Linked DNA regions of Caenorhabditis elegans. The protein of the gene in region 4 purifies or fractionates together with the protein of the main gene of each other region. This does not show direct contact. Each region holds a gene or a part of one and is shown on either strand. Other genes may lie near its edges. The genes, in order: R07E4.3, ndua-8, ndub-6 and nduv-2.

Region 1 (7,709 bases), on a different chromosome or scaffold from region 4:
TTATATTTTGACTTTCATTTTAATTGAAATTCAAAACAGGTTTGCCTGTATTTCATTCAAAGCGCACTTCCGAACAAGGAACAAAAAGGAAAAGATAAAAACCCGATTCAAACAGTTTGCGGAAATGTATAAAAGCTACCAAAACCGTGTCGTTTCACACAGCGCCAGCGTGGATTTGTTCCGTGTCTGCGCCTCTCATCACCAACACGCGTTGCTTGGAAGGAGAGGTATGATGAGAAGAGCAAACACTACTGGCATTGATTGATTCAAATTTTGAATCAAAAGTTGTTCAAAAGCGAAAATAAAGTAGTGATAGCAGTGATTTTGAACACCGACATTTCCAATAACAAAAAAATAGGTAATTGTTTGACAGGAAATCTTCATTCACAGGAACATAACAGCAATAATGAGAATCTTCGGAGTAACTACCCGGATATCAGAAAATAAAAATATGAATTGATAACAAATAATAATATAAGCTTCACAAGCTACAGTAATAATTTTTAGTCCGCTAGTGGCGTGGGCGTTGAGTATGGTGAGCGTACTGTCCATGCTGAAGATGCTGCGAATGCGAGGCGCGTGGTCCACGATGTGGATGTACAGGATGATGGGCATGGTGCAGATGTGGCTGATGATGTGGCATCTGCTGATGGTGTGGGTGCGGCTGAGTGTAATGATGACGTCTTGATGAAACCGCCTTTCTTGGTCTTGGCTGATAAAGCATTTGCTCGCTGAGTTGCTCAAAGTACTGAGCAGCACCGTCGGCTACTGGAACAGCCTGTCTCTCAAGCCCATATGACTCCTCACGAATTAATATTGCAAACTGTCGAGCCATTTCAGGGCTCTGACCATAAATCACCATCCGAGTCATGTTCTGGTATTCCTTCTCAAATAAAGCAGATCGGTCCTGAAGTTTTCGCAGAGCCCGGACCATTTTGTTCACATAGAATTGCATGGCTTCTGGTGAGTACCATCCGGTCACTGAAATTTTGAGAAATAATTAACAATTAGACTTTAATTTTCGGAATATCATTGACTTACGTTTGGTGTAATCATGATTTGGCTCTGGGCCGACAACTGTCTTTTCACGCTCCGTCAGCTCTTCAAAGATATCATCGTCGTTGACTATAGCTATCTGCTTTTCAAACTTTTCCCAAGTCATATCGAGCTAAAATTTATACTTTTAAGCTCAATGTTTAAGTTTATGGCCGAGTTGCACCAATGGACAAATTGTTAAAAACCACTCCTATGGTGCTAAAATTACCAAATCTCATAGTAAACTTTTTTTCAAAATTTTTTTGAAATTTTGTTGTTTTGAAAAGGGGCAATTACTCAGTGCTTGCTACGTTATCGGAAGCCGTCGATCAAAAAAATTCCCTTTGAACTTTATAGCCCACTTATGTTTCAAATATTCCCACATCATAGGACTTAAACATGCTACCGTGCTATAATTTTCCAAAAGTTACAAAAAAAACTCAGTAATTGCCATTTTCGAGTGTTAATAAAAGATTTTAAAGATTGTGTTGAAAATTTTAATTATGATATTTGGTCACTTTAGCACAATAGAAGTTGGCTTTAACAATTTTTCCATTGGTGCTACTCGAACTTTAATTTCTGTCCCAAATCGTATTCAAAATCTTACCACAATGATCTGAATATATTTCCCATAATCAAAAACATTCTCCTGTGACTGATTATCATCTGCGGCTGTTTCTTCACTCATTTCTTGCTTGATTTCTGCTGCTTTCAGCTCTGTCTGACCTTCCAAAGGAATTAACTTAACCGGCTGATCTTGATTCGTTGTCAAATCTTCCATTGGTGGTTCTTCCGGCACAACCGCATCGTCGACAATACAGCTTTCTTTCTTTACCTCCACAGGTAAAGAATCTTGTACCTTGTCTTGAGCACGAAGATCGACATCACCAACAGGAACTGCTACACGCAAATCAACATCTTGTGATCTGTAATCAACATCCTTGGGAGCTGATGGTTCACGCATATCGACGTCTTGTGTTTCGAGTGGAATTGTTGGAACTGTCGGAATGATTTTCACAGTTTGCGGGATAACGGGAACCATATCTGGAGACGCTGGACAATCCATCGGAGGACTTGCTGGAGAGTCATCTTCAGGTGCGGCAGCGGATTGAAGTTTGTCCTTCTCTTCTTCCAGTTTTTTAACAGCATGTTCTTCAAGTTTTGCTTTAAGCGTTTCTTCATCATAATAAGTCTTGTCATCTTTGTCAAATTCGCGGAGTCGAAGAATAACTGGTCTGCGTAACCCAGTGTAGCGCTCCGTTGCACATGCAACTAGGAACAATGGATCTGGTGTCCCATCTGCTGAGGCTTTTCCGTCTTCATTCTCTTTGGTTTCGGCTTCTTTGTCGTTTTTCACTTCAGAAAGTAGATCGCCATTTTTGGCGTCTTTTCCTTTCTTTGCATTTGAAGGTTCGAGGGTTTGCAATCTTCGCTTTCTCCCTCCTTTAGTCAAATTTGTTTTTTCATTTTTGACATTTTCGGCTGTAATTGGACCAGACTCTCCGTCTCCTTCGTAGCCGTTTTCATTGTTGGGAACAAGGTTTGGAAATTTTTTTTTCGGTGCTCGAGGTTTCACTGGAACAACTGGCGCAGTTGTTTCAGACTTCATGTCGTCAATTTCCTTTTTGATATCTTCATTGGATTTTTCAAGGCTTGTATCAGAACTCCGATCGTTTTCATCTTCTTTTTCCAGGAGTGCTACAGGCTTATCACCAATGATCTCTTTCAAAACACAATATGCGACTGCATTATTCACTTTCGAACCTGGAAATAGGACAGGTTAAATAATTAAAACATTTGCATATTACAGTAGTTACCTTTTTTGTCATAGCACTTGTCAATTGGAAGAAGGAAACTTCTCGTCAAAACTGAAATCGTTTCCAGTGGCTGATATGTTGATGTGCCAACAATGTCAATTTTGGTAAGTTCGTAGGGCACATTTTTTCTCACAGTACAAGGTGCAAGTTCTACTCCAAAAGAAGTCCCGAAATTGACCGTTGTGACGTAGTTCTCGGTAATCTTCTTGTGAATTGTCGCAGCTAGTTTTTTTGAAGTTCCGTGTTCAACCAGATGAACATCGCTTTTGAGTCGTTCAGAAATATTTAGTTTGATTCCAGAAAAATCGAGAAACGTCATCTTTTTGTGGTATTTGTGGAACATTTTGAGAATCTGAATTTATGATTGTTTTTTTTTTATTTCTTATTTAAAGGTAAAGTTTTATGGTGTTACAATGACTGAATATAATTTTGAAACTTTTCAAAACATTTTGGAAATTAATATTTTTGGCCAAAAAGCGGTGACAACCGAGCTTGTGCCACTCTTCGAGAAATGAAACACAAATCCCTACAATGTTGGAATATAAATATTTTCAACATGAATAACATAAAAAAGGAAATTATTATTTTTCATCGATAACTTCCAAAACAGACTGGTGAAAGCTTACTTTTCATCGCTTTTTTGAAGTTTTCCGAACACTGCCGAAATTTTTTTTAAATGATATTTAGTTATTTCAACACCAAAAGAGTGATTTTTCACAATTTCCTCTCTGGCGTTACTCCACCTTTAATGTGGTGACAACTTACTTTTTCATTAACAATAGTGGATACAATGAAAAATAACGCATTTTCATCCTCATCGGCGTCCAACGCAGTTTTCCAAAGCGAAAGAAAATCATTCTGATCTGATGGCTCAAAAATCATACTTTTCGAATCCTCAAACATCTTCAGTGCTTTTCCTTCTTCCAGTTCAATGTAATTATCACCAATGTGCTGAAAAAAGTGTAAACTTTATAAACTATTGCTTCAAAAACTCACAATATGAACTCTATCGATATAGGTCGGCTGATGATCTCCTTTTTTGCAAATTTCACGCAGAAAAATGTACGCATTCTCCATTGGTGTCGCATCACAATCGATAATTGCATGCATTTTTATACTCGCGTCGACTAAAAAGTGAATTTGGTTGGGAAACGGCATTCCTGAAAGAACAATATTCAATTTCTAAAATAGCATTTAAAAAGTAAAGAAATAAAAACCACACTTTGCAAAAAAATCTAAAAATTGGATAATAAATGAGGAAACTTAACGTATAACGACAGAGGCACCCTCCAAGGTGCACACATTTATACGGCCGGGTCTCGCAGCGTGTTCTCAATGGAGCGTCCTTGCACACCAACCAACTGAGGCGCTCGTCGCAACTGCTGTATACTTTTTCCATTGAAATTTACTTTAACTTCTTAATTTGTTTATTATTTCAGATAAAAATGAGGCCTTCAGCCGTTGCAATGGGAAAACATTTTGGAAATTTGGGAAAAATGTATGGAGAGCATAGATTTGCATTGGCTCCAAACGAACAAAAAGCTTATAAAGGATTCTTCGATCAGGCATTTGTGAGAACCTTCAAAACCTACGTTTGGGATCAATGGTACTACTACATTCCACAAACTATTGGTGCATATCTTCTCTACGATTGGGCCAAGAAGACAAATGTTGCTGCAAACCGCAAAAATCCAGCTGATTTTGCCAACGACGAATAACTTGTGGAAGAAGTTGGATTAGTTATTTCAATGTATTAATTGAAATCAACGTTGGAATTTTTTCTCAAATAAAATGTATTACTAGAATCACAATGTGTTTTTGTACACAAGCATATCAAAATATGATTTACTTTAAAACTGCAGTACAAGAAAAAAAGCTAATTATTTTGTCAGCTGATAATGTTTTCATACGTAAAAAATCAGGCGGGAGAACTGCCAAAGTTAAGCAAGGAAATACCAGACTAAAGGATCAAATGCGGTATTCTAATGTTTGATATAGTCAAATCAAACATTGCAAACATGCAAGATAGACTATTATTAGTATGTGTACGCATTAAAACAGTATAATCGGCAAGAACCTCTAATAATTCTTTCAAAAACGTTTGTAGTAGAATAATTAAACACTTGAATACATTTTAGATTTTTCAAAAACTTCAGTCAAAATTGTGGCAAGTTGCCAAATTTTCCGAAACAAAATTAGTAAACCGTAGGACGACTTCAAAAACAATTATATAAAAGAGCAAACTGAATTTTCACTACTTCGTGACTGCACATAAAACAATCGCAAACTTAAAAAATTTTTTGCTATTGTTTTTAGTCATTTCAGGAACGTGGGGAAAAATTAAAAAATATTCTCCAGAAAAAAGCAATTAGAAAAAGTCAAAGTTAATATTTTCTAAACAAAACTGTCATCCTAAAAAGATTTCAAACCACAAGTGGCAAACCACAGGTTTTGAAGCTGATCTATGCTGTCAGAAGATTTATACTTTTTTACATTGGTAACTAAAGAGATATGTAGAGCATGTATTTGCGTCTAGCAACCGTTTTGCTTGTTTTGTTGTTTCTATTCAAAAAAAAGTCTACTTCCAGACAGCTGAAAAATTAGTTACAAAATATTATCGCTGGCTGGTCAATTTTTCTTTCATTTATCTAAATTTAACTCGATTTGATCTTTCAACCTTTTATACCGCTCAAAAAATACTGTTAGTCTTTGTTTTATGGATACTTTTGACAGCAGCTTTGCCAAATATTTGATTTGTTATCTTCTGATTCGAACAAAACAAATTAAACGGAAAGCGTGAAAACCTTTGAAAGCAGATAATTGATTCATAATTCCGTAATATTCTCGAGCTTTCTTCTGTAAGGTTTTTCGATTTATTTACAGTTTCTGTCTCAGGAAATTGGCTGCTGAATTCAATTTTAAATGTTCACAATGTGGGACTTTTCATTTTCCTCTGAAAAAATGTTTCACCAACTTACACTGCAAGGATGGTGTTCTTTTTAAATATGTCCTAATCTATTCCAATCGTATTCCAATGGGTTAATATGATGTAGCACTCACTTATCGGAAATTTATTTTTTGGGTTTCTCTGAAAATTTGAACAGAAAATATGAACAATTTGTAAGAGTTTAATAGCTACCAAATTTTCAAAATTCGCGTTTTTGGCAATAGCGAGCACATTTTTGGCAATTCGAAAATTTGTCAATTATCAAGTAAACATTTTTTGAAAAGTATAAAGCACAACTCTTCTTTGGTCTGTTTAGTTGCAATTTTTAACATATTCGGCAGACTGCACTTTCTGCGATGATCAAATCTCGAAATCATTAAAAAGTGTCAATATATTTTTAAAAAATCTACAGTTATCATTTGAAAGTTTAGCAATAAAATTCCGCACAGAAAAGAACCACTCAACTTTTTCTTTGCCCATATACTCCAATTCACTAGTATTTTCTATTTCTCTACACTTTCTGCTCAATTAAAATTATTCTTATAATGTAGGAAACATATTGAAAAGAATTGGTAAATTATAAAAGAGAGGTACATTTCATCTCAGAAAATGATTCTGACTATAGAAAAAACCAAAGTAGTCATGAGAAATGACAAAAATGAATAATGAGCGCCTTAAAAGCGTATGATTTCACAATTTTCATTTGCCGTAGTTGACTTGTGCTTTTTGAGAGGTTTTGTATTTGAAATACTGGAACTTTTGTTAAGTAGCAAAATTTTTGGAGTTTCTATAAAGACTTAAAAACAAATATTCTAATAGGGTTTCTTAGCAATGTTCAAAAGTTGCTCTCATGGTAAAAAAAATAAACCTCCAAAATTTTTAGATTTTTCTAAAAGTTAAGCCAAAGTTTTGGTAAATTGCCACATTATTCAAAAATGATTTCCACATATTCTGGTTTTTGTATGTTTTATAGACAGTTACGCCTTAAAGAACTTTAAAAAAATCAAAACTTTTCGCTGCGATTCAAATTTCCAGGAGTTTTCAAGATAACGTTTTTTTTATCCTTCACGGAAAATTTATGGTGATATAGATGACCGTGTGAGTATTGAAACAAGTGTTATATATTTATTAAATCAATATAGTCATATTGTTACCCTTTAAACTTTTATACGAAAAAACGAATGCTGTTTGATTCCTTGATTATGATTAATTCCCGTCTCAAAAAGCATCAGTTTTCATGTTATTCAGTTCGTGGGGGTGCCGGTGAACCTTGCATCGCAAGCTCATGTATTCTGTGGTCCCTCAGCAAAACGTATCACATTTTTCATTTTAGAAGGACACCGCGTCGTCTCAAGATGAGAAAGCTCTCTCGCGGTCGCGATGACACACGCACAAAAACCTTTCTACACATCTTGCTTTCTTGACATGCCCAATTGTGATTGCATTAATTATCGGTCATATCTCTATCGAGACCCTCTCAATCCGTTTTTCTGTCCGCAGGCCCCCTAAAGAGCAGTCTATCGGTTTCTTGCTCCCTTTCTTCTTCTTTCTTACTACACCCTTATCCCATTTTAGATGAGCCGCCACAAACCAGCTGGAACGGAAATGCAGTAGCATTGTCCATGATTTCTTGATTCGAAAACACTTTTCTCTAGAAAAATACTAGTGCAAGTTGTTACCCGTGCATGTGAAAAAACCAAAAAAGGAAATGTTGGTTAGGAATGGGTAAACATATACTTTTGAATATCAAAATACATTGTCTTATGGCTCTCACTTTCTCTCTTTCTTTTTTTATTTTGCATGCCTAAGATTTCAAGTTTTTCAGTTTGAATACATCTAGAGGCATTTAATTAAGATTTTTGATCGGACTATGTGTCTCTCGAAATGTAAATATTTCATCTTTTGAAGTG
Region 2 (9,016 bases), on a different chromosome or scaffold from region 4:
TGCTGTAGTAATTCCCCAAAGAGCATCAAATTATGGGCTCTCTCCGTGTGAGAAAAGATCGATGCGTTGAATCGCGCGGGGGCTGTCATGTTGTCGTTCCAAGAAAGGAGTGTGAGAGAGAGAAAACGGAGGGAGAAAGCAATTCCAAATCGATCTGGGGACCGCCTGAGTCTGTCACGTTATACGCTGCGTCTCTCTTCATCTCGTCTCTCTTCAGCACAACAGCAATCGAGCAATCGGCCACATATATAGAGAGAGCTCGTCTCGATCATGCATCTGCACCACCCGTCTATGGGAAGAGAGCACAACGACTACATAAGTGAGAGAGAGTGCGTGGGAGAGAGAGAGAATAGAGAGACCCATCCGGAAGATGGCCAAGAAGAAATCGATTTGATGCTTTCCACTCAAAAGGAAGAAGAAGAGAAGGGAGTGAGTGAGTTGGGAAAACGGAGGGACCGATTGGAGAAGTACTGAAATGAGCAGATTCACGTGGTGTCAAAGTGCCTCATTTTGGTTTGATCTTCAAGAAATGCGGGAGAAGAGACTGATTTCGCATGGTTAAGAGTGTGTGTTGACGTCACATTTTTTTGAGCAACAAAATTCCCGCATTTTTTGTAGATCAAACCGCAATTGGACAGCCTGACACCACGTCTGCAGATTACTATGTAGAGTTGAATTTCTAGATCAGAGCATTCGATCCATGCGTGGGCGGCGGCAATCCGAACTGACAAAGTATAGAATTTTGAGAAACTCTATTTATTGTTCGGATTCCAACTCCCAGAATGAGAGGTCAAACTCTACAGGTTTTCATGAATTCGGTGAGAAAAAATGTGTTTCTTCACCAAAAACATTGAAGTTTTTTGCTAAAAAACTTGTAAATTGTCCAAATGTCGAATCATCAAATTGCTGAACACGGGTAGATCAGGGAAAATTGAAGAAAAAATCTGGATATGCTTAGGCCTTTATTTCTGGAGATAACACATAATACGGCAGCCTGGGAGATCTGCGAATTTGGAATTTTTCGAGTTTTTAAAATCTAAAGAAATTGAGATTCTACAAGCGTTTTCCTCTAGTTTCTGCACATTTCTAGATGAAATTTCGAAATCTAGAAAATCTAAAAACTTGAAAAATGCCCTCCAGAGCTATAAATAAATGTGATATATCTATAGGATTAATTTGAAAATGTAAACTAATCTGATGATTTATGAGCTAATACAGACACTACTAGAAATATGTATGTGTGTGTGTGTGTGCATATGCTACCGGCTGGTAATAAACAATATTTTTTACAGGAAAAGTTGAAAAAAATAGACTAGGAAGTAGTACAAAAACCTACATACTATAGAGCAAAAAATAAAAATTACGAAAAAAGGACAGAGCTCATAAGAGAACGAGATAGAAACGATTTGAATGACAGATGGCGAGAGAGAGAGAGAGATTCGACTAATGTTCGATTGATGGTATGACACTTGGCGGGAAAATCAATCGATATTGATCACGATTTTCGAGATATCGATCATTTGAGGAGCACATAATCTTCACTTCATATTGGAGAACCACCGGAATTTACCAAAGTTCAAAAAAATTGACATTTTTTATGTACTAATTCTACATTTTTTGTAGCATTTCCAAAAGTTTTCTAGTAATTCCAAAAAACTACTTATTTATAAATTACACAGATCCAAATTCCAGAGATATCGATTTTTTAAAGAAAATTTGCACCATTATTTTCTAAAGCAAAATAACTGAAAATTACTGAAAAATGAGTATTCCGAGCACATTTTTGCATTTTTTTCAAGAAAAGTTGTATTTAAAAATCGGTGGAAAAAATCCTCACTTATAAATATCGACAGAGCTTGGTCCATTTTTCATTAATTTCGCTGAATTTTTATTCAAATTATGCAGGATTGTTAGCTCAGTTTTCAAGAATTTATACTCGTTTTCTCTGAATTTTCAGCCCAGTGTTCCAAAAGTTCTCCTCATTTTTTTTCTTGTTTTTTAGCAAATTTCTATATATTTTCTCCCCAATGTTGCAGGATTTTCAATCATTTTTTTTCCTAAAATTTCGAGTAATTTTCGCTGAGATTTTTAGCTAATTTTTCCATAAATTCTCAGCATTTTTGCCGAATTTTCAGCCAATTTATCCGGATTTTCTCTGGATTTTAGCCAATTTTTTTTCCATAATTTCTTTCCATTTTTGCCGGATTTTCAGCCATTTTTTCCATAATTTCTCTCTATTTTTGCTGGATTTTCGGCAATTTTCCCATATTTTGATTCGATTTTCACCGGATTTCAGGCCAATTTTTCTCCAATTCTTTACCTTATTAGTTCTGCCTCTATATGCATTACTCTCCTCAACCAATCGTGTTTTACGAATTTCACTGTCATCTTGTCGTTGTCCAAGTGCTGTCACTTCAGCCTCCACTCTTGTCTGAAATTTCAGATTTTTTAAATAATTTTTTTTTCCAAAAAACTTGAATTCGGTCCCAATCTACAGATTCCCATGCTCTTGAGACGATTTCCATAAGGTCTGAAATAAGAAATTAATCGAATTATTTAATCACAGCAAAAAATCACACAATTTGTTAGAAATAGCACACGGATTAAAACCAGAAAGGTTGAAAAAGTGAAAAAAAAAAATTAAAGAAAATCTACATTTTATTCGCTGAAAAAATTTAAATTTTTGGAAAAAAAAACGGGAAAAAACAAGAAAAAAATAGGAGAATTTGGAGAGAACTCTACGGGAAAACGAAGGGTATTTGCAGAAAAACGGCCAATTTTTCAGAGAAATCTAGCTTTCAGTAATATTGTAGCGCCAGTCGTTGTATTTACGGTAGTCTTTGCGAAGATGATAGTCGGCTGGAAGCTCATTGAGCACTTTAGCTGCTTCTGCCTTGTAGTCACGGAGCTTCACCTCTGAAATTGGGGAAAATTGAATTTGCCGCGAAAAATGGGATTTTAAATGAGTTTTTAGTGAGATTTTCGTGAAATTCAGGTGGGAATGATGCCTAAAACTGAAAAAATTGATTTTTTTGACTTGAAATTCGGATTTTTTCCGCAAAATCTATCAAAATTTAACTTAAAATACAATATTTTTTGGATAGAAATTTGAATTTGTCGCTAAAAAATGTCTGAAATTAAGGTTTAAATAGTGATATTTTGGCTCGAAATTTGAAATTATTCCGAAAAATACAAATTTTACCAGTTTTACAAGGCTTTTTTGACTGAAAAAAGGTGAATTTCGTGACTTTTTAGTTTTAAAAAGCTTTAAAATAGTCAAAAAAGCGAAAAATTTAACAAAAAAGTGGTTTTTTTTTCAGGAAAATATGCAAAAACGTTAGAATTTTTCAAGTTTCAGGAGTTTCTGGGAACTTTTCTGAAAAGTTCATACAAAAATTGAGAGAAAAACAGTGGAAGAATTCAGCTAAAATATTGATTTTTTCGCATTTTTAAATTAATTTTATCGTAAATTCTATAATTTCTGTACCTGGAGCCGCGGTGGCCGAGTCATAGACATGAAGTTTGCTGAAGTATCCAAGCTTTGGACGCGTCAAGTTCAAATTAGCTTCCACGCAGGCATCGAGCTCCTTCTGGTCGTCATGGCACCTGAAAATTGAATATTCTACTGCTTTTTCGCTTTTTTTTTCGGAAAAAAATCACGTTAAAATTTTTTAACGGTTTATTTTCGATGAAATTTCATTTTTGGAAAGCTCACTTTGACATGTAAAGCTTGGCACTGCTCTGATCAACACATTCGGCGAGCTTCTGAGTCTGTGGAAGGCAGGAACGCTTCAAAGATTGAAGAAAATTGACTCCACACGCGGTCAGCGCGGCTCCCTCCTTCAAAACGGCACGTGGATCCTCGGCTTCCTTTCGTCGAAGCATGAACTCCTGCAAAAAATCTCAATTTTATCGAAAATTTGGCAGAAAAACCAACATTTGCCTCCTTTTCGCAATGTTTTGCCATATAGGGAGCGATGGATTTGAGCCATGGAGTTGATAAAGTGATTTCCTGAGGAACAGTGAGCTCCTCGTCACTTGGAAAATGCGTATCCTTGGTTATACTCATCGGAAAATGTACCCTGAAATTGGAAAATTGGAAACCAAGCGGAAACTGTTACAGAGAGGGAATTCGGTGATGAAATTTATTATTTTCGATGAGAAAAATTTGAAATTTGATTTTTAAACAAAAAAAAACAAAAAAAAATCGATTGAAAATAGTTTATTTTGATTTTAAATGATAAAATAAAAAATAAAATTTGTTTTGCGCAACGGCTGTTTGCCCGTAAATCCACACAAGTTTAAAGGCGCATGCCATGTTGGCTCTCTTCCCTGCGAGACCCGCGGCATCTCATGTCGATTTACGGGCTATCGAACTTTGCCCTTTTCTTGCTCCGATTAAAGTTTTCTAAAAAAAAAGCTTATTTAATTGAAGAAATTCAGATTTCATTTCAGATTAAATATTATGAAATTATTGTGTAAATTTCTGCTGTAAATCTGAAAATCTAGCTGAAAAATGGTGGAAGTCGCGCCAGCCGGCACAAAATCGCCGGCGCTCTCCGTTCCAGTTGTCATTTGGGGCCCGAAACCGCCGGAAAACAAGATTTGCGCAATTCGTGTGCTTCCTGATGGCGCAACAATTATCACAGGTTAATATTCATCGAATTTTCTAAACAATAAAACAAAAAATCTGAAATTTCGAAATTTTCAGGCGCTGAAAATGGCCACATTATTATTTGGAAGCTAGCAGAAGGACTTATGCCAAAGCAGCTAATGATTGGACATTCTCAAAAGATTACAGCAATCTCTCAGACAACAAATACACCGACAAATACGTTAGTAACGCAGGATTTGGAAAAAATCGATAATTTCCGAAAAATTCCAGACGTTTTGTCTCAGCTTCAGCCGACGGACGTGTATGCCTCTGGGAGATTCAAGATGGACGGTGCATTGATTCAACATCTTCTATTGCAATTCACAGATATATTTATCCATACGTAGGCGCTGGAAAATCGATTTTTAGCCGAAAAAACCGAGAATTTTTTTGATTTCAGACGTATAAATCGTCCCGTCACACGAGAGCAACTCGTCTTTTCTGTATTGGAGATTATAGTGATATTCAAGTAATGGATCCACAAGATTTGACAGTTGTATTCTCAATTTCTTCAAGAGTTGAACCGGATTGGATAAGCTGTTTTACAATTATTAGTCATCCGGAAAAGGAGGATCAGTTGATTGGAATGACTCTGAGTGGAATGATGAAGGTGTGGAATTAATGGAAAATCGATTAAAAAGCGAAAAAATTAATTTTTTTCAGCCAAAAATCACCGAAAAACATTAAAAAATATCATATTTTCGCGGAAAAATTGCATTTTTAAATGTTTTAATGTGAAAATACAAATTTTCTAGAAAAAATCTTCAATTTTATGTAGAAATGGAAAAAAAAATCGCGATACCCTGATTCAAGCTTATTTTTGAACGAAATTTGGTGGTTTTGAGCAAAAAATTGTAATTTTTGCCCAAAAATTTGGATTTTAAAAGTTTTTTATTAATAATTTCGATTTTTCAAACTTGTAAAACGACAATTTCCGTGAAATTTTCAAATTTTTTTCACTTAAAAATCACAGTTTTTGGAATTTTTTCTCCAGAAAGCCAATTTTCTACTTAATTTGGAAGATTTTTTGTATAGCCTTTAGATTAAAAAAGCTGATTTTAAAGCTATTTTTAAGAAAAAAAAAATTAATTTTTACGACTTTTGACGTTGATTTTGGTGTAAAAATGTATAAATCTATTGAAAAAATGTCATTTTGGACAGTTTTCGAGTGGAAAATTGAATTTTTGAAGCTTAAAAAAAAATTTTTAACTAAAAAAAACACAATTTCCGTGAGAATTTCAAATTTTCAGTTTATAAGCTCTTTTTATGATGCAAAATATCGATTTTAGGCCGTTTCTTATCAATTTTAATGCAAAAATAGTCATTTTCAAGCTCTAAAACCACATTTTTCCAGTTGAAAAGCTCGAAAAATTGAATTTTTATAGCTATTGCAGTTGATTTTTGTGTAAAACATGTATAAATTCGTCCAAAATATGACATTTTAAACGGTTTTTCGAGTAGAAAATAGAATTTTCGAAGCTTTTTTCCCTGTTAAAAGGCAATTTCCGTGACATTTCTAATGTAAATTTTCAATTTTTGACTGAAAAAAGCGAATTTTTGAACAATTCACACAATGTAAAGTGTTCTTAACGCAAAAATCTCGTTTTTAAATAGATTTTTACTTGTAAAATGACAATTACCATAAGATTTTCACATTTAAATTTTCACATTTAAAAATTCTAATTTTTGGTTTAAAAAGCTATTTTTAATGCTAAAACGGAAAAATTTAAATTTTTCCGAGGTAAAAAATTGATTTTAGATAATTTTAGACCAATTTTAACGCGAAAATAGCCATTTTCAAGCTCTAAAACCCCATTTTCCAGGTGTGGACGCTCACAGAACTGGAGAAAAAGGACCCAGCAACATCTCTATATGAAGATGAATCAAAACGACTAGAAATTCAACATATTCGAAGTGTTTCATATATTTGTTCAACAAGAAGAATGCTTTTAATAATTGCATCGACATGTTGGATGATTATTGATATGGATGATCTTTCAACAGTAGTTTTTCATAAAAATGAAATAACTACGAAACGTTGTGTGGCTGGATATCTTACGGATTTGGATAAAGTTACAATTGGATATACTGATGAATCAATTCATGTATTTCAATTGCCTATCGAGTGAGAAAATTCCGGAAATTTTTATTGGAAAATACCGGAAAAATCGAATTTTTCAGCTAAAAACACATGAAAATCAACAAAAAATCACAAAAACGAATAATTTTCTTTGATAAAATTATCAATAATCTAAAGAAATTTGAAATTTTCCTGGAAAAAGCATACAATTTGCGAAATACCCTAATTTTCTAGCGTGTAATCAAAAAAAATTGACAAAAATCGAAAAATTTTTGTTTAAAAAATTAAGTAGTTTTGCACTATTTCGATAGATTTTCGTATATATAATTATTGATTTAAACAACAAAAAATGAAACAAAAAATCCGCTTTTCCACGAAAAACAGATTATTTGCAGAAAAACTATATCTTTTAATGAAAAATTGACAAAAATTGAGCCAAAATATCCAAAACGCACATTCTGACGAATTTTCTCATAGAAATTGCTTATCGAGTGAAAAATCCCGGGAAAAATCGACTTTTTCGGCAAAAATTGAGTTAAAATCGCTTATTTTCAATTAAAAATATGCAAAAAAAATAATTAAAAAAAAGATAATTGATTTTTTTGGAAAAAATAAAAAATAAATAAATAGCTTAAAATCACGAATTTTTGTTGAAAAAATTTGAACATTTCCCACAAATTTGACATATTTTTGCCTAAAAATTCAAGATTTCAACGCTAAAAAGTTGAATTTTCTTGAAAAAATTCTCTTGAAAAATTTTTTTTTTTCGACTTTAGCATTCAAATTAATCTAAAATATAGTAAAATAGTATAAAAATGGTGAAATTTACTATAAAATTCAAAAATTTCAAAAAATAATAAAAATTTCAAATTCCAGAAGTCTCCAAAAAGAAGGAGTACCGCCAGTTGTTGCAAATAATCGTCCAACCTCAAATTATTTCGATCAGCCGAATCCCTTCATTGTGGCCACTGTAAATGGTGTTCAGGAGCACTCGAGATCTGTAAGAGCTCCGTGTCGATTTACGCAGCTCGTGTGTACTCCCCGAGGAGAAGAAGAAATTTCCTGATTTCAGGCCATTTTTCACTGATTTTTTCACTTTTAAAATTAAAAAAAAAATCGCCGTGGTTACTGTGAAAAACCATGAATTTATGTTGATTTTGGCTCTAAAAAGGCAATTTTTGTCTAAAATTCTCAATTTTTAGTATTTTTTAACATTAAAATCGCCCATTTATCGAATTTTACTTCAAAAAACTATTAAATTAGCAAACCTTGACGATTTGAAACCGAAAGTGATAAATAATGACAGAAAATTCTAGATCTCTAATTTAATAGTGTTTATTGCTATAAACTGGAGATTTGAATACCAAAAAAAAAAGCGCCAAAAATTGCATTTTAAGCTGAAAATCGAGAAAATTCATTGATTTTCCCAAAAATCTCTACAAAAAATTGTGAAAATTGCATAAATCAAGAATGTTCAGCTCAAAAACTGTAAAGTCTTGTCCTCGGGGAGTACACGAGCCGCGTAAAGCGATTTTCCAGCTTAAAAGCCCGAAAATTCTCAATTTTCCCAAAATTTTCAGTGCCTAAACGACGTTCAATTTGCATTTCTACCATATAATTCTTCAAATTCCCTGGAATCTTCATCATCTTCATACGAAAAACGTCGTTTCTCAGTTGTACGAAGTTCAAGAAGAGATGGAAGTGTACTTGTATGGAATATGCCACCATTTGATCATCAATTCATGAAAGCTGTGCCAGCTATCAGGAATTTGCCATTTAGTACGGGCGATTTTTGATCTAAAAATAGAAAAAAGGCTAAAAATTTCAAAAAACCTGCGAAAAACGTATTTTAAAATTTTTTGTCATGTTTTTGCATATTTTTCTTTAAAAATTTAATTTTTACTCCAGTTTTCATGAAAAAACGCTCAGTATTATCATAAAATTTCATTAAAGTGAATTTTTGGGTCCCATCACGAAAAATTCGGGGTTACTGTAGTTGTTGCAACTGTACAAATCTTAAAAATTCAAATTTGAATTTTTAAAAAAATTGAAACCAGGAAAACTAGGCCGAAATTAAAACTTTAAAAATTTGAAAAAATTGCAAAATTACAGTAACTAGTCAGCCGGTTTTCGTAGTGGGACCCAAAAAAATTTTCATTTGAAAAAATTGAATATTTGAGACAATTTTCACCACAAATTAGATGCAAATTACGACAAAATCGTTAAGAATTGTAATTTTTCGTGATATTAGAAAATCAGAAAGTCATAAAAAAAACTATGAA
Region 3 (8,479 bases), on a different chromosome or scaffold from region 4:
ATATGAATTACAAACAAAAACAATAAAATCTCAGCGATTTCTATAAATAAAACTAATTATTCATTTACCATTCAGGTTCAGGTTGCCATGGAGTAAAAAGCTCACTGCGGCTTGCAAAAGTAGGCGGAGTTTGGAGATGCAAGCGCGCGGCGCACTTTTCTCATTCATTTTTTGCATCGTTCTGGATTAAAATTGCAATAATTTTTCGTGTTTGATTGGACTATTTGAGGCTTTTTCATTTATTTTCAGATACGTTATAACACAAATTTTGATATAACTCAGAAAATATGTAAAATATGAAACATAATCTGTTCTCTTGTAGAATTCTACGACCTTTAAACGAAGTCTAGGATTGTAAAAAGTATATTTTTCCAAGTTGTTGCCTTTAATGAGCTCTTTCAATTTTTAACAGGATTTTATTAATTTAAAAATCTTATTTTCACTTCCTTTGCATTATTTGATAACTATCGCCAATAATTGTTACTCTAAGAAACAGTTTTCACATCAAACTTTCAATTAAGTCAAACTTTTTTACCTTGAAGCTAACTTTTTAGCTTCCCTTTCACGACAACAGTTTGCAAATACATGCTTTGACGTCGCTTTTTTGCAGACAAAAGTTTCATTGAAATGAAGTATACCTTTCAATTTTTAGCTTATCTTACTAAATAGCTGACGAGAGGCAATCGCCGTACTATCAAGTATTGTCTTTCACTTTCATTGATTATTCTCTTTTGAGTTCAAAGTCAAAAAACATCTTCAGTTTTTTTCCATGAAGTTTTTTCTTATGGATTTTTTCAAATTCAGCTACAGTAATAACCTGCACATCTAACTGCACCTGTTGTTTTGAATTCGACAATTCTCGTTTCGAATTTTTTGGGAAAAACTTTAGAACAATTACTTCTGCTCATTTTTCTTGAAAATTGCTGATTTTTTTTCTTTTTGAAGAAAAAATTCCTATAAATGCTCATCTTTTCTTGCCTCGTTATTTATGTCTCAACCTACAAAATGTTTTTCAGGGTACTATGTCGTCGGCAGTGGAGCTACAGCCGTTAAACAAAACAAAGAAAGTCGAGGAAGAATCCCCGGAGCCAGAGGACAAGGGAAATCTTGTTTTCTACATTATCTTGCTCCATGGAATCGGAACTCTTATGCCATGGAACATGCTTATTACGATCTCCTATGATGTGAGTTTTGAAATACCAACAAAAAAGATCACCGATATTTTAAAAGCCTATTTCAAAGCATGGAAACCATTTTTTAGGAATGTGAGCTAATAGAAATTATCTAGAAAATGTATTAAATTGTAAAAAATTCGCTTATAATCATTATTTGCAGTATTTCGAATCATACAAAATGCTCGCCAACTCAACAATCGACATGGACACCGGAGTAGTTACTGGATATCCAACTGTCTACTCATCCAACTTCCAAAGCTTCCAAACGATCGCTTCTCAAGTCCCGAACCTTCTTCTCAATCTTCTCAACATCTTCATTGTCGTCAAGTGAGCAACTTTTTTCTAAAAGATAAATTCTTGCAGTTCAATGTTTCGTTAAGTTCTAAATAAAATGTAAACTTTCAGGGGAGGACTTGCTAGTCGCATCACTGTCGGACTCTCAATTGTAGCTGTTTGTGTGATCACTACAATGATGTTCATCTACGTCGAAACCTCCACATGTAAGTCATCATCCCTTTCTATTATTTTTATAAACCCAGACGTTTTCAGGGCTCACCGGATTCTTCACACTCACCATCATCACAATTATTGTATTGAATGGAGCAAATGGAGTATACCAGAACAGTATCTTCGGTCTTGCATCGGAGCTTCCTTTCAAGTACACCAATGCTGTGATCATTGGAAACAATTTGTGTGGAACCTTCGTCACCCTGCTCAGTATGTCGACTAAAGCTGTCACCAGAAACATCTTGGACAGATCATTCGCCTACTTCTCCATTGCTTTAATCACACTCGTCTTCTGCTTTATCTCCTTCCACATCCTCAAGAAACAACGTTTCTACCAGTATTACAGTACCCGTGCCGAAAGACAACGAAACAAAAACGATGAAGCAGTTGATAGCGAAGGAAAAGTGGCTAATTACATCGCAACTTTCAAGGAGGCCTTCCCACAACTCATCAACGTATTTTTGGTCTTCTTCGTTACTCTTTCCATCTTCCCAGGAGTCATGATGTATGTTAAGGATGAGAAGAAAGGAGGTGTCTACGATTTCCCATTGCCACGTCAGTTTTTCATCAATTCTCTTGAAATACATAACCGTGAATTTTCAGAAAAATACTTCATGGATGTGACCACATTCCTTCAATTCAACGTGTTCGCTTTTATTGGATCAATTGTCGCCGGAAGAAAGCAATGGGTATGTTTTTATTTTTTGAGATTTTGGCAAAATCTGATTGAAGGAATACCGTAAACTTGAATAAATTAGAATAATCTAATATATCAATATTTATTTCAGCCTGCGCCGAACAAGCTCTGGATTCCAGTCTACCTCCGTCTCCTCTATATTCCATTCTTCATCTTCTGCAACTATCTCCCTGAGACCCGTTCACTTCCCGTCTTTTTCGAATCCACCTGGCTTTTCGTCATTATCGCCGCCTCGATGAGCTTTGGAAGTGGATATTTCTCGGGACTCGCCATGATGTACACCTCGAAGACTGTTGATCCATCGAAGGCTCAGGTCGCTGGAATGATGGCCGGATTCTTCCTCATCTCTGGAATTGTCTCTGGTCTGATCTTCACAATGGTCATCAAGATGGTCGTCACGGCCTAAACTTCTTATTCCTCCTTATTTTATTCCCATCAACCTCATCATTAGCAATATTAATTCCCTAACGTAAATTCTTTCATAACCTTCAAGGTTTCCTCTGTAGTATCTTTATCCACTAGTGTTCTTTCCTTAAAATACCTCTTAATACTTTGTTGTTCTTTGTTATTTTCCTTCTTCAGGTATTTCCGCAGCACCATCTCGTTGTTCTCCTATTTTTTTATAATCTCAACTTGTTTTTTATGAATAAAACCTAGAAAGTTGGTTAAATAAATCATTCATGAAATTTTTTATTTACGGTAGGGTCAAAAACAAAGAAAAAACTTTAAAAATTCGTCTACAACACCCTAAAAGTACATATTCGAATGACTGATTGTCACTCGTTTCCTTTCGATTACCACGGTCGTTTTGTCTCTCCAACATCGAGGTAAGCAGTACGCTTATTAAATGTTGGTCTGAAAAGTTTCAATTTTCCAATATTCCACAAATTATTGTTTAACTCACGTGTAGTAGTCATCCTTGGATGGGTTGGCGAGTCCCTTATCCATGAGTCCAGGGAATTTCTCTTCAATTGCTGGAGCACTAGCAATAACTTCTTTTTGTGGCATCGATTCAAGTCCTCTCAAATGTGTCCAGTCCTTGAAAAGATAATGGTTCGTGAAATTAATATAAAATTCAAAAAATTGAATACCTTGACTTCGTATTTCCAATAATAATAGGCAGTCTGCACAACGACGAAAGCCATGAGCAATTTTGGAGCTGTAACTCTGATAGCGGTTCCATAGTAAACTCCGAATGTTGGCTGAAATGCAATAAATGAGAAATTCAAATTAAAAAATTGATTTTTTTAAAGAAAATATATCTCACCTTGAGGTAATGAAGATAGAACTTGTCCCATGGAAGTCTGTAAGCGGTTCTGATTGGGTTCAACTGACGATGAACGGCATCGACAACGACTGGCTCGTCAGCGTGAAGGTGCTGGTCCTAAACATAAACATTTTAGTATTAACAATTGACAAAAAATGTAAAAACTCACATGAACCCACTTCTTTCTCCATTCTCTTTCGGCTGGGCTCAAACCAGCGGCACGAACACGCTCATCGGCCATGTGGAGCTCGAGAGACATGCGGTCATTCACTCTGAATTTTTTTGTGTTGAATAGAATTTGTTGAACAGAATCTAAAAGAATTACCTGTGAAGAGGCTTGTCACCAGTCTTGACAAGCGCCGGTGGTGGAACTCCGGACCGGGTATAAGGGGAATTGCCCGTGCGTTCTGGTTTCACATACTGGTTACCCATTTGAGCCTGAAATTCGTTTTTATGAATTTGTGAGACTGCTTAAATATAAACTGAGTAAAAATCGATAATAATGAACGGGCACACAAAAAACATGATACATGACAACGAAATATAACAATTTAACATAAATTACATACGAAATCAATAAAATTTTAGCAAATTTGAATAAAACAAACTATTTTGCAGTTAAATTTAGATCTGCCATTTATTAAAAAGCCCGTTGCGGCTTGCAAAAGAAGGCGGAGTTTCGAGGTGCAAGCGCGCGGCGCACTTTTCTCTTTCTTTTTTCTTGCATTGTTCTGATTAAAATTAATATAGTTTCCACGTTCTCTAACACTTTATTATTCCATTCGAAAGATTTTTCTAAACTTTAAAAGTATTTCAGCACGATGTCGGGTACAATGCGGGATAAAACAAATGACGTGCAAGGCTTCCGGTTTGCATGGCCCTTTCCAAAAAAACCGTCACTTCTGTACCGTATAAAATCATACATGACAATGAGTTTAGTCACTTCAGTTTCCAAACTTATGTTCCTTGGAGGTTTGTCTTTTAATTAAAGTTTAAAATTATTAAATTCGATACATTTTAGGATCCAATAAGTTGATATGCCACAACAAAGAGACATTCGTCAAGATTTTGGAAAATCCGAATCAACCACTCATCACAGTCTCAAATCATCGCTCAAATATCGACGACCCGCTCATGTGGTGTAAGCCGAATGATTTATTATAGCATTCCTAATTTCTATTTTCAGGTATTCTGAAATTCCGTGAGTTTTGGAGATACAAAGATCGCAATAGATACACTCTCGCAGCTCACAACATTTGCTTCACAAAACAGTTCCATACAACGTAAGAGTTTTTTCTCTTGAATTTTTCAAATTAATCGTCGCATATTTATTTTTCAGAATGTTCTCATTAGGACGTTGTGTTCCGTGTGTTCGTGGAGAAGGAGTTTATCAAAAAGGAATGGATTTCTGTGTGGATATGCTGAATGATAATAAATGGGTTCATATCTTTCCAGAAGGAAAAGTGTGTACTCTTGAAAGTGAACCACTACGATTCAAGTGGGGAATTGGAAGGCTTGTGATGGATGCTAAAACCGATCCAGTAATATTGCCTGTATGGTGTAAAGAGATGGAAAAAGTTTGGCCAACACAACCTCCATACTATCCTAAATTTGGAAATGTAAGTCGGAAGATTTTTCAAGTTCAATAATCAAATTTAGACGTAAAAATATAAAATCTGCAAAAAACGTAGTGAAATTATTCATTTTTTTCCGTTTCAGACCGTAACAGTTCACATCGGAGAGCCATTTTTCCTGTCTGATCTCAAGAAAACAGTTCTATCAAAGTCACTGACCACTGAACAAATGCGAAAAATCATCACTGACGAAGTTCAGACACGGATGTATCAATTGGGAGAGAAAGTTGGTGATCTTCCTAAAGGATCGTCACTGGAAATTCTTCGAAAAAATCCGCCAATTGAATATTAAACTTGATTCCCCATAGCTTTAATTTTTTAGGAAATATTTAGATTTTTTTTCTATTTCTTGGTTTGATGATTTTTGTTATAACACAACTTTTATTGCATTTTCTATGTACGTGATAGCCATTTTCTTTCCTACTTGCTGTTTTTGTTTTTTTTTTCTCTTCCCTTGAAATCCCGGATGAATTCGTCTCAAGCTCTGATCTTAAGATCATCATTCTGTTCTCCTTCACCATTTCCTCTCATCGTTTCAGAACGTCGAATCGAGTCGTTGGTTTAATGGCGTGCCAAACGGCAAAGAGCAGCAGGAGCAGATGGCGGCGTGTCAAACGGGCGGGAGAAATCAAGATGATACCAAGTTTCTCTGGGTTCATGGATTGAAGAAAAATAACATAGAAAATGACATTTTGCATGACATATCATATGGAGGTTAACAACTTTACATTCATATGCAAAGGAAATGCATCCGTCATGCGAAATCTAGAGTAGGCAATTCAAGAATCCAAGTAAAATCTGAAACTGAAATATGCACAATAGGGTTTTCAGAAACTGACTGATCAGAGTTCACTGATCTTTCACAGCTGAGCTTGTTGTTCTATCACGAGAATGTTCATGATATCTGAGTATGAAAAAACAAGCTCAATGTTTCAAACAACAAGTGAAATATTATGAACAACAGTTGAAAATTTGAACATTTTGTGCAATTAGACTTCAACCGTAAGTAGGCATATCTTCAGGCCTATGTGCATGCCTATCGTCGTCTTCCAGCTTTTTCAAGATTTCCAGTGATCGGTATTTTCAGTTTTTTTGGGTCTAGATTCCAGAGTAATCGCACCAGTTGCATATTATACGATCCTTAGTGAAAATATCCACAGTACCGGCTCTCGCCACGAATTTTTTTAAATCCAAGTCGCAAAAAGGTGTGCGCTTTTAAATAGTACAGTAATCCTTTGCCTGTTATTTTGCAATATTCTCTTATTAGAACATTTTTCTTGAGAATCTAAATTTAAACACTAGAAAACAATAATAAAGAACAGGAAATAACGGGAAGTTGGTTACTGTACTTACTACTCAAAGGAGCACACCTTTCATAGCAGATTTGAGTTTAAAATAATTTGTTCGTGGCGAGACCGGGTATCGTGTTTTTAGGCGAAAATCGCTTGACTTTTGCAACTAGGTAATTCCTAGATTTTGTGTTTTCAGAAACTTCCTTTATTACTTTTGCATTTTTCTGCAATAATTTTTTTAAAATCTCATTTCAGAGAGTTCAAAGATACGATAACGTTCATGTTAGTATCATTCCTCAAACGTTTCATTTTCTCCAATCAGTTATCACTGATACACTTTTCAGTGACACTGTGTACATGTAGGAAAAGCTATCCGGTGTCAAGCGGTCTTCCTGCTCTCGGAGCAAAAGAGCCATATGACTTGAACGTGTGCTCGCACAAATCTCCTGCACACTTTGACGTTTCGATATCGAAGTATGGCAGAGCGGTGGTTTGATAAAATCCAATCGAAAACCACGATATCTCTTTCTTTGATAACACATTTTTGTTTGTTCGTTTCCTTCATGGTTGGCTCGATCAAAAGTGACCTCTGTTTCTTTTTTATCACTGGATATCATCAAATCTATCAATTTGGAAGGAGCAGCACGGAGCCTGAAGCAGAAAAATAAGAAGAAGATGAAAGAAAACACAAAGATTGTGAAAAGTAGAGTGATTCTGACTTGAAGGGTTCTCCCTCACAGAGATCATGTGCCATTCGGAGAGAGCCATGGAAAAAGAAAACAGGCGTCCTATAGACAAGGCGGAGTCTCCACATTCTCATTGATACCTTTCTCTTCCTCAAAAATGTTGCTGGTTGAGTCATTTTGACTCGGTCCTATCTGAAAATTTATCCTTTTTATCTTTCTTTTCCACATTCTCATTATAAGTCAATTTCTATTTACCTTATCTATCTGATCAGTACGTATCAATATCAACATTCAATATCAAGTACCTCAAACAGCTAGACACCGCCTCCTCACCTATATTTCTAAACTCTTAGTTCTTCGCAACTTACTGGTCTCTGATTCAGGAATTATTTAGCGCTTATTTCAATTTATTTGTACTTTTTTTTTGGAAAAAAACACGAAAAATGATGAAGTCAACTACAGTAAGTTTTGATTTTGTTTTTGGAGTAGTCCTGTTCCACTTTGAAGCTTTATATCTCAGTTAATTTCAAAAATAGCAAAAATAAAGTAAACGCAAAACTATAGCCAAGGGAATAATTAATATTTCGTCAATTGAAATTGCTTTGATAAAACAAATGACGAGCGAGATATAAGCTGGCAAAGCTGAGTAGTTTTAACGTAGGAAGTACGGTAGGAAGTGATCGCCTTCTTGTTTGGCAGTTGAATTTAGCACATTTTTTTATAGAATATGGTGGTTTTTCAAATAGAAGAAAATATCTAATTAAACTTCGTTGTGTCTATGTTATGTTAGATTTCTTTAGTGAGCAATTTCAAATGAGCAACGACTTTTATATTCGTATTAAAACACTAACATTTCTGCGAATTTCTACGAATGTGAAATATTTGTGAGATTATATAATACTTTAATAATTAATCCCTATAATTATCTACCTATTTCTTTCTCACTTGATACCTCAAACAGGCCTTCCACTATCCTACCTTTGTCCAAATAATGTTGCCAACCTTGGTAAACCGTTGTGGACGCGTGCCTGCTGTCAAAATTCTTATGATCATTCTATCAAATTAAAATATATTAATTGAAGTTTCAATAAGTTATCTGAAATGGATAAGTGAAAAATTTAGAAATCAAATCTGTATAAACATAAAAATCAGTTCATAGTGCATATAGAATGTAGAAAGGCACGTAGGCAAACAGAGGTAGGTACTTTTGCGACTGACGTT
Region 4 (3,398 bases):
CTTCCTTCTTCGCAACTTCAACTGAAGGAGCAACTGACTTCACAACCTGCAGCTCATCATCTTCCTCCTCCTCATCGCTACTAGGAACGGTTTGAACGCCTGGCGCCTTCTTGGCTGGCGTTTTTGCAGCTGGAGTCTTGACGACTGGAGTTTTTGCAGCACGAGTTGGTGTCTTTGGTGCTGGTGTATCCACAGTCGATTTGGTAGTTCGCGATGGAGTTTTTGGAGCCGGTGTTTTTGGAGCTGGAGTAGCACCTCCTGCTGCTAGTGATTTCTGAGCTCTAGTCTTTGGGGACCTGGCTGGTGTCTTCGGTGGAACAACGACTTCTTCGTCCTTCTCTGGCACATCGGCGACGACATTCTTCGCAGGAGTGTTCTTGGTGCTCTTTCTACCCATCTTAAAATAACAATTAAAAATTTTAAAACAAAAAGAAATTTGATAAGTATAAAGAAACGGAATGCAAACCGCAGATCATGAAAAAGAAAATCATCAGATAAATACATTGAATACACTTTACTCTAAATCGCAAAATTAAAAACGAAAATTAGGATTTTTAAAAACCAAGGATCTGATAAAGATGGAATCTACAAATAAATTCAAGCATGTCCAAGCGTTTATTTAAGAGCAGCTTGCAAACCGAATCCAGGTCCAGGCGGGGTTTCTTTGAGAGAAGTAAGCTCTCCGAATGGCTCAGCGGCTAGGCGCCCGGATCTTGGTCCAGCAGCTGGTTTACGTCCTGCTTTAAGATCGTCAAGAATCTCGTTCACATCCTGAAAACTAACATAATTTTGTTAACGCATTGATATTTTTATACCTTTGGTGTCAGGTCCTCGAAATAATCGTCGTTAATTTGAATCATTGGAGCATTGACACATGCTCCAAGGCACTCTACTTCCGCCAATGTGAAGAGTCCATCTTTTGTTGTTTCTCCGGCATGAATGCCAAGTTTCTTCTCAATAGTTTCCGTGATGGTTTCAGCTCCTCGAAGCATGCATGGGGTAGTTGCGCAGACCTGGAGGAAATACTTTCCTACTGGTTGCCTGTTGAACATGGTGTAGAAAGTGGCAACTTCATAAGCACGCATTCTTGGTACTTCTAAAATTTTAGCAACCTCATGCATGGCTGAAATTGGAAGCCAGCCATGTTGCCGCTGAGCCAAATCGAGAAGTGGAATAAGAGCACCAGCCTGAATAAAACTGATTGAAAAAACCAGCATTAAAGTATAATCTCACTTTATGTCCTTCTGGATAAATATCCATGATAGCCTTAATTCTCTCTTGATTTTCCGAAGTGAATTTGAATTTGACATTCAAATTATTTTCTTTAGTGTCTCGGTGAACCATCAATCCAGTAGCTCCGCCTCGCTTGATCACCATTTCACCAAGGCGTGACGCCTGGAGCAGCACGTTCGATGCCAACGACATCTTTTGCAGGCCGATCACCTGAAAATTGATTTCTTCATAAAAAAACGATAATTTATGATTTTTCACAAGAAAAAGCAACATCTTCTTAGGGTAGAACTACTGGTTATATGTAAATGAATACGCTGAATTAGAAAATAATATTATTTTCAACGGAAATTCATCAGGATAACTGGGAAAAGCTGAAAATAGGGCCTGAAAATGGGCGGACATTCAGAAGGGACTAGTTCCTTTCTTTTCGAAATCGCCGGCCATGGTGTATGTTTACGATAAACTAAGCGTGAGATGGCATATCGGAGTGTCGTTTTATTATTATTTTTTCGTTTTTTGTTTTTTTTTGTTTTCTTTGAAGAAATTTAAAGAAGAATTCTTCTTTAACTTTCACGCATATTTAAATTAGAAACCTATAGAATTTTCGAATCTTTTTAACTGCTTCTGATCACTATTAGTAGTAGAGCGCATATTAATTGTTTAATTTCATCAAAATTAAAGTTTTATAGATGTCAGAAAACTTCGGCGAAGCAACGTATGTTAGCGGACGCCATCGGAAAAACCCTGTACTCATTTACACAAGTCGAACAGACCGTAACAAAGTTTATGAATTTATGATCGCAACGAAATATAAGGTGAATTTTTCTTTAAATCAAGTATTTCTATATTTAATTAGTTTTCAGATACCTGGACTAGTTTCTTGGAAATGTGTATCATGCTCAAAAGTGAAGAATGGTTATCGAAATTTAGGTGCTGAACTGAAGCGGAAAGTTCCGTTGATCCTAGTAGACAACGATATCATCAAGGAAGATCCAGAGAGACCCCTCAATGCTGAGCATTTTTGTAACGGAAAAGGTCATCTCGAAGCAGTAGTTGATAGAGCTAGAATTGATTTTGTACATGTAAGTTCTTTATAAACCTGTTTCAAGTTGCATGGTGTTATATTCAGATGCATGGACACGAAGAACCGAATAGTGCACAAATTCGTGAAACCATTCAACATTTTGCAAAAGAAGCTGCATCCACAGCACCGATCCCATTGAACGGGAAAGAAAAACGAGAGGTACAACGGACACTCGGTGCGAAATGTCTACCGCTTTTACATGGTGTTAATAAGCGAAGAATGTGTAAAAAGAGAAAAGAAGCTACGCAAGCTCAATTTCGAGACAACGAAGAAGGAATATTGGAACATGGAGAAGGTTCTTCTTCTTCAGTTCAACATCAGCAGGTCAAAGATGACAGGTCATCGAACAAAATAAATGAAAAAACTGGGGAAGTTCAGGAAGATTTTCAAGAAACACCCAGAAAACGTCGGAAAGCAGCGAGCAAGTTTCCACCATTTTCATCTCCAACGCAACAGCCTCTTTTGGTACGACCATTGCCGCCCATGTATTGTAAGTTTTTACGATTCGATTCTTACATCAAGGACAACGTCTAGCTTTTCAGAATTTCATTCCTTTTCAAAAGTCTTCTGAAACGTTTATTTTTTCAGACGTCCGCACGGGCATGGCTTCGCAAGTTCTTCCACACCAGCATCATCATCATGATTCTCATCATCATTCAATAGATTATTATGAGGATGTAGAGATTGAAGAAGAAGCTAGAGAACACGTATTCGACGATGAAGAGCTCATTTCGGGTGACCAGCAACAAGTGGCGTATAGCATTGAACTTTAAAGTACATTTCTAGCCTTCATATTTTGTAACATTTGTTGGAATTTCACAGTTTTATGCAATTACATGTAATTAGATTCCCAATTTGTGCAAAGGCCGTCAACACGTGACATGAAGTCTGTTTCGCTTCTCTGCACCCTCCCGTTTCACCCATTCACATTATTTTTCACCATTCATCAGCTGGTTTTTTTGTTGCTTTTCTTTTCCGCCTCCCTGTCAATTGTTGTTTTGACGCAGTTTCCTTATTTTCTCCTTTTTAGTTTTTTTTCTCAAAAAAAAAAAATTTCAAAAAGTTTCACAATTAACGTATT

The links.
Region 1: the proteins of nduv-2 (region 4) and R07E4.3 fractionate together in Caenorhabditis elegans (co-fractionation; one large-scale study listed by BioGRID). This does not show direct contact.
Region 2: the proteins of nduv-2 (region 4) and ndua-8 fractionate together in Caenorhabditis elegans (co-fractionation; one large-scale study listed by BioGRID). This does not show direct contact.
Region 3: the proteins of nduv-2 (region 4) and ndub-6 fractionate together in Caenorhabditis elegans (co-fractionation; one large-scale study listed by BioGRID). This does not show direct contact.

The regions. Positions count from the first base shown.
Region 1 is NC_003284.9:5,949,161-5,956,869, forward strand, and holds R07E4.3 (Cytochrome b-c1 complex subunit 8), read left to right. Parts: upstream 1-4,297; coding exon 4,298-4,570; downstream 4,571-7,709. Other genes in the region: R07E4.5 (VWFA domain-containing protein), read right to left, coding at 512-981, 1,042-1,168, 1,643-2,799, 2,853-3,204, 3,618-3,803, 3,849-4,010.
Region 2 is NC_003281.10:2,524,129-2,533,144, reverse strand, and holds ndua-8 (NADH dehydrogenase [ubiquinone] 1 alpha subcomplex subunit 8), read right to left. Parts: upstream 4,083-9,016; 5' UTR 4,070-4,082; coding exon 3,938-4,069; intron 3,892-3,937; coding exon 3,716-3,891; intron 3,607-3,715; coding exon 3,488-3,606; intron 2,917-3,487; coding exon 2,792-2,916; 3' UTR 2,643-2,791; downstream 1-2,642. Other genes in the region: cone-1 (Protein CASP), read right to left, coding at 2,321-2,431, 2,475-2,525; Homeobox protein cut-like ceh-44, read right to left, coding at 2,321-2,431, 2,475-2,525; rbc-2 (WD_REPEATS_REGION domain-containing protein), read left to right, coding at 4,517-4,649, 4,712-4,835, 4,886-4,997, 5,055-5,264, 6,478-6,779, 7,611-7,734, 8,315-8,513.
Region 3 is NC_003282.8:11,648,008-11,656,486, reverse strand, and holds ndub-6 (NADH dehydrogenase [ubiquinone] 1 beta subcomplex subunit 6), read right to left. Parts: upstream 4,085-8,479; 5' UTR 4,079-4,084; coding exon 3,972-4,078; intron 3,919-3,971; coding exon 3,816-3,918; intron 3,764-3,815; coding exon 3,647-3,763; intron 3,582-3,646; coding exon 3,471-3,581; intron 3,418-3,470; coding exon 3,284-3,417; intron 3,235-3,283; coding exon 3,174-3,234; 3' UTR 3,055-3,173; downstream 1-3,054. Other genes in the region: ent-1 (Equilibrative nucleoside transporter 3), read left to right, coding at 1,023-1,184, 1,336-1,502, 1,581-1,675, 1,725-2,237, 2,286-2,371, 2,471-2,785; acl-3 (Tafazzin family protein), read left to right, coding at 4,468-4,618, 4,668-4,787, 4,833-4,929, 4,986-5,265, 5,366-5,572; ZK809.8 (Cardiac phospholamban), read left to right, coding at 7,702-7,719.
Region 4 is NC_003283.11:13,624,125-13,627,522, forward strand, and holds nduv-2 (putative NADH dehydrogenase [ubiquinone] flavoprotein 2, mitochondrial), read right to left. Parts: upstream 1,444-3,398; 5' UTR 1,426-1,443; coding exon 1,234-1,425; intron 1,188-1,233; coding exon 816-1,187; intron 789-815; exon of another isoform or gene 772-788; coding exon 616-771; 3' UTR 501-615; downstream 1-500. Other genes in the region: F53F4.11 (Ribosomal L1 domain-containing protein), read right to left, coding at 1-397; F53F4.12 (Thioredoxin domain-containing protein), read left to right, coding at 1,923-2,048, 2,097-2,315, 2,363-2,807, 2,906-3,090.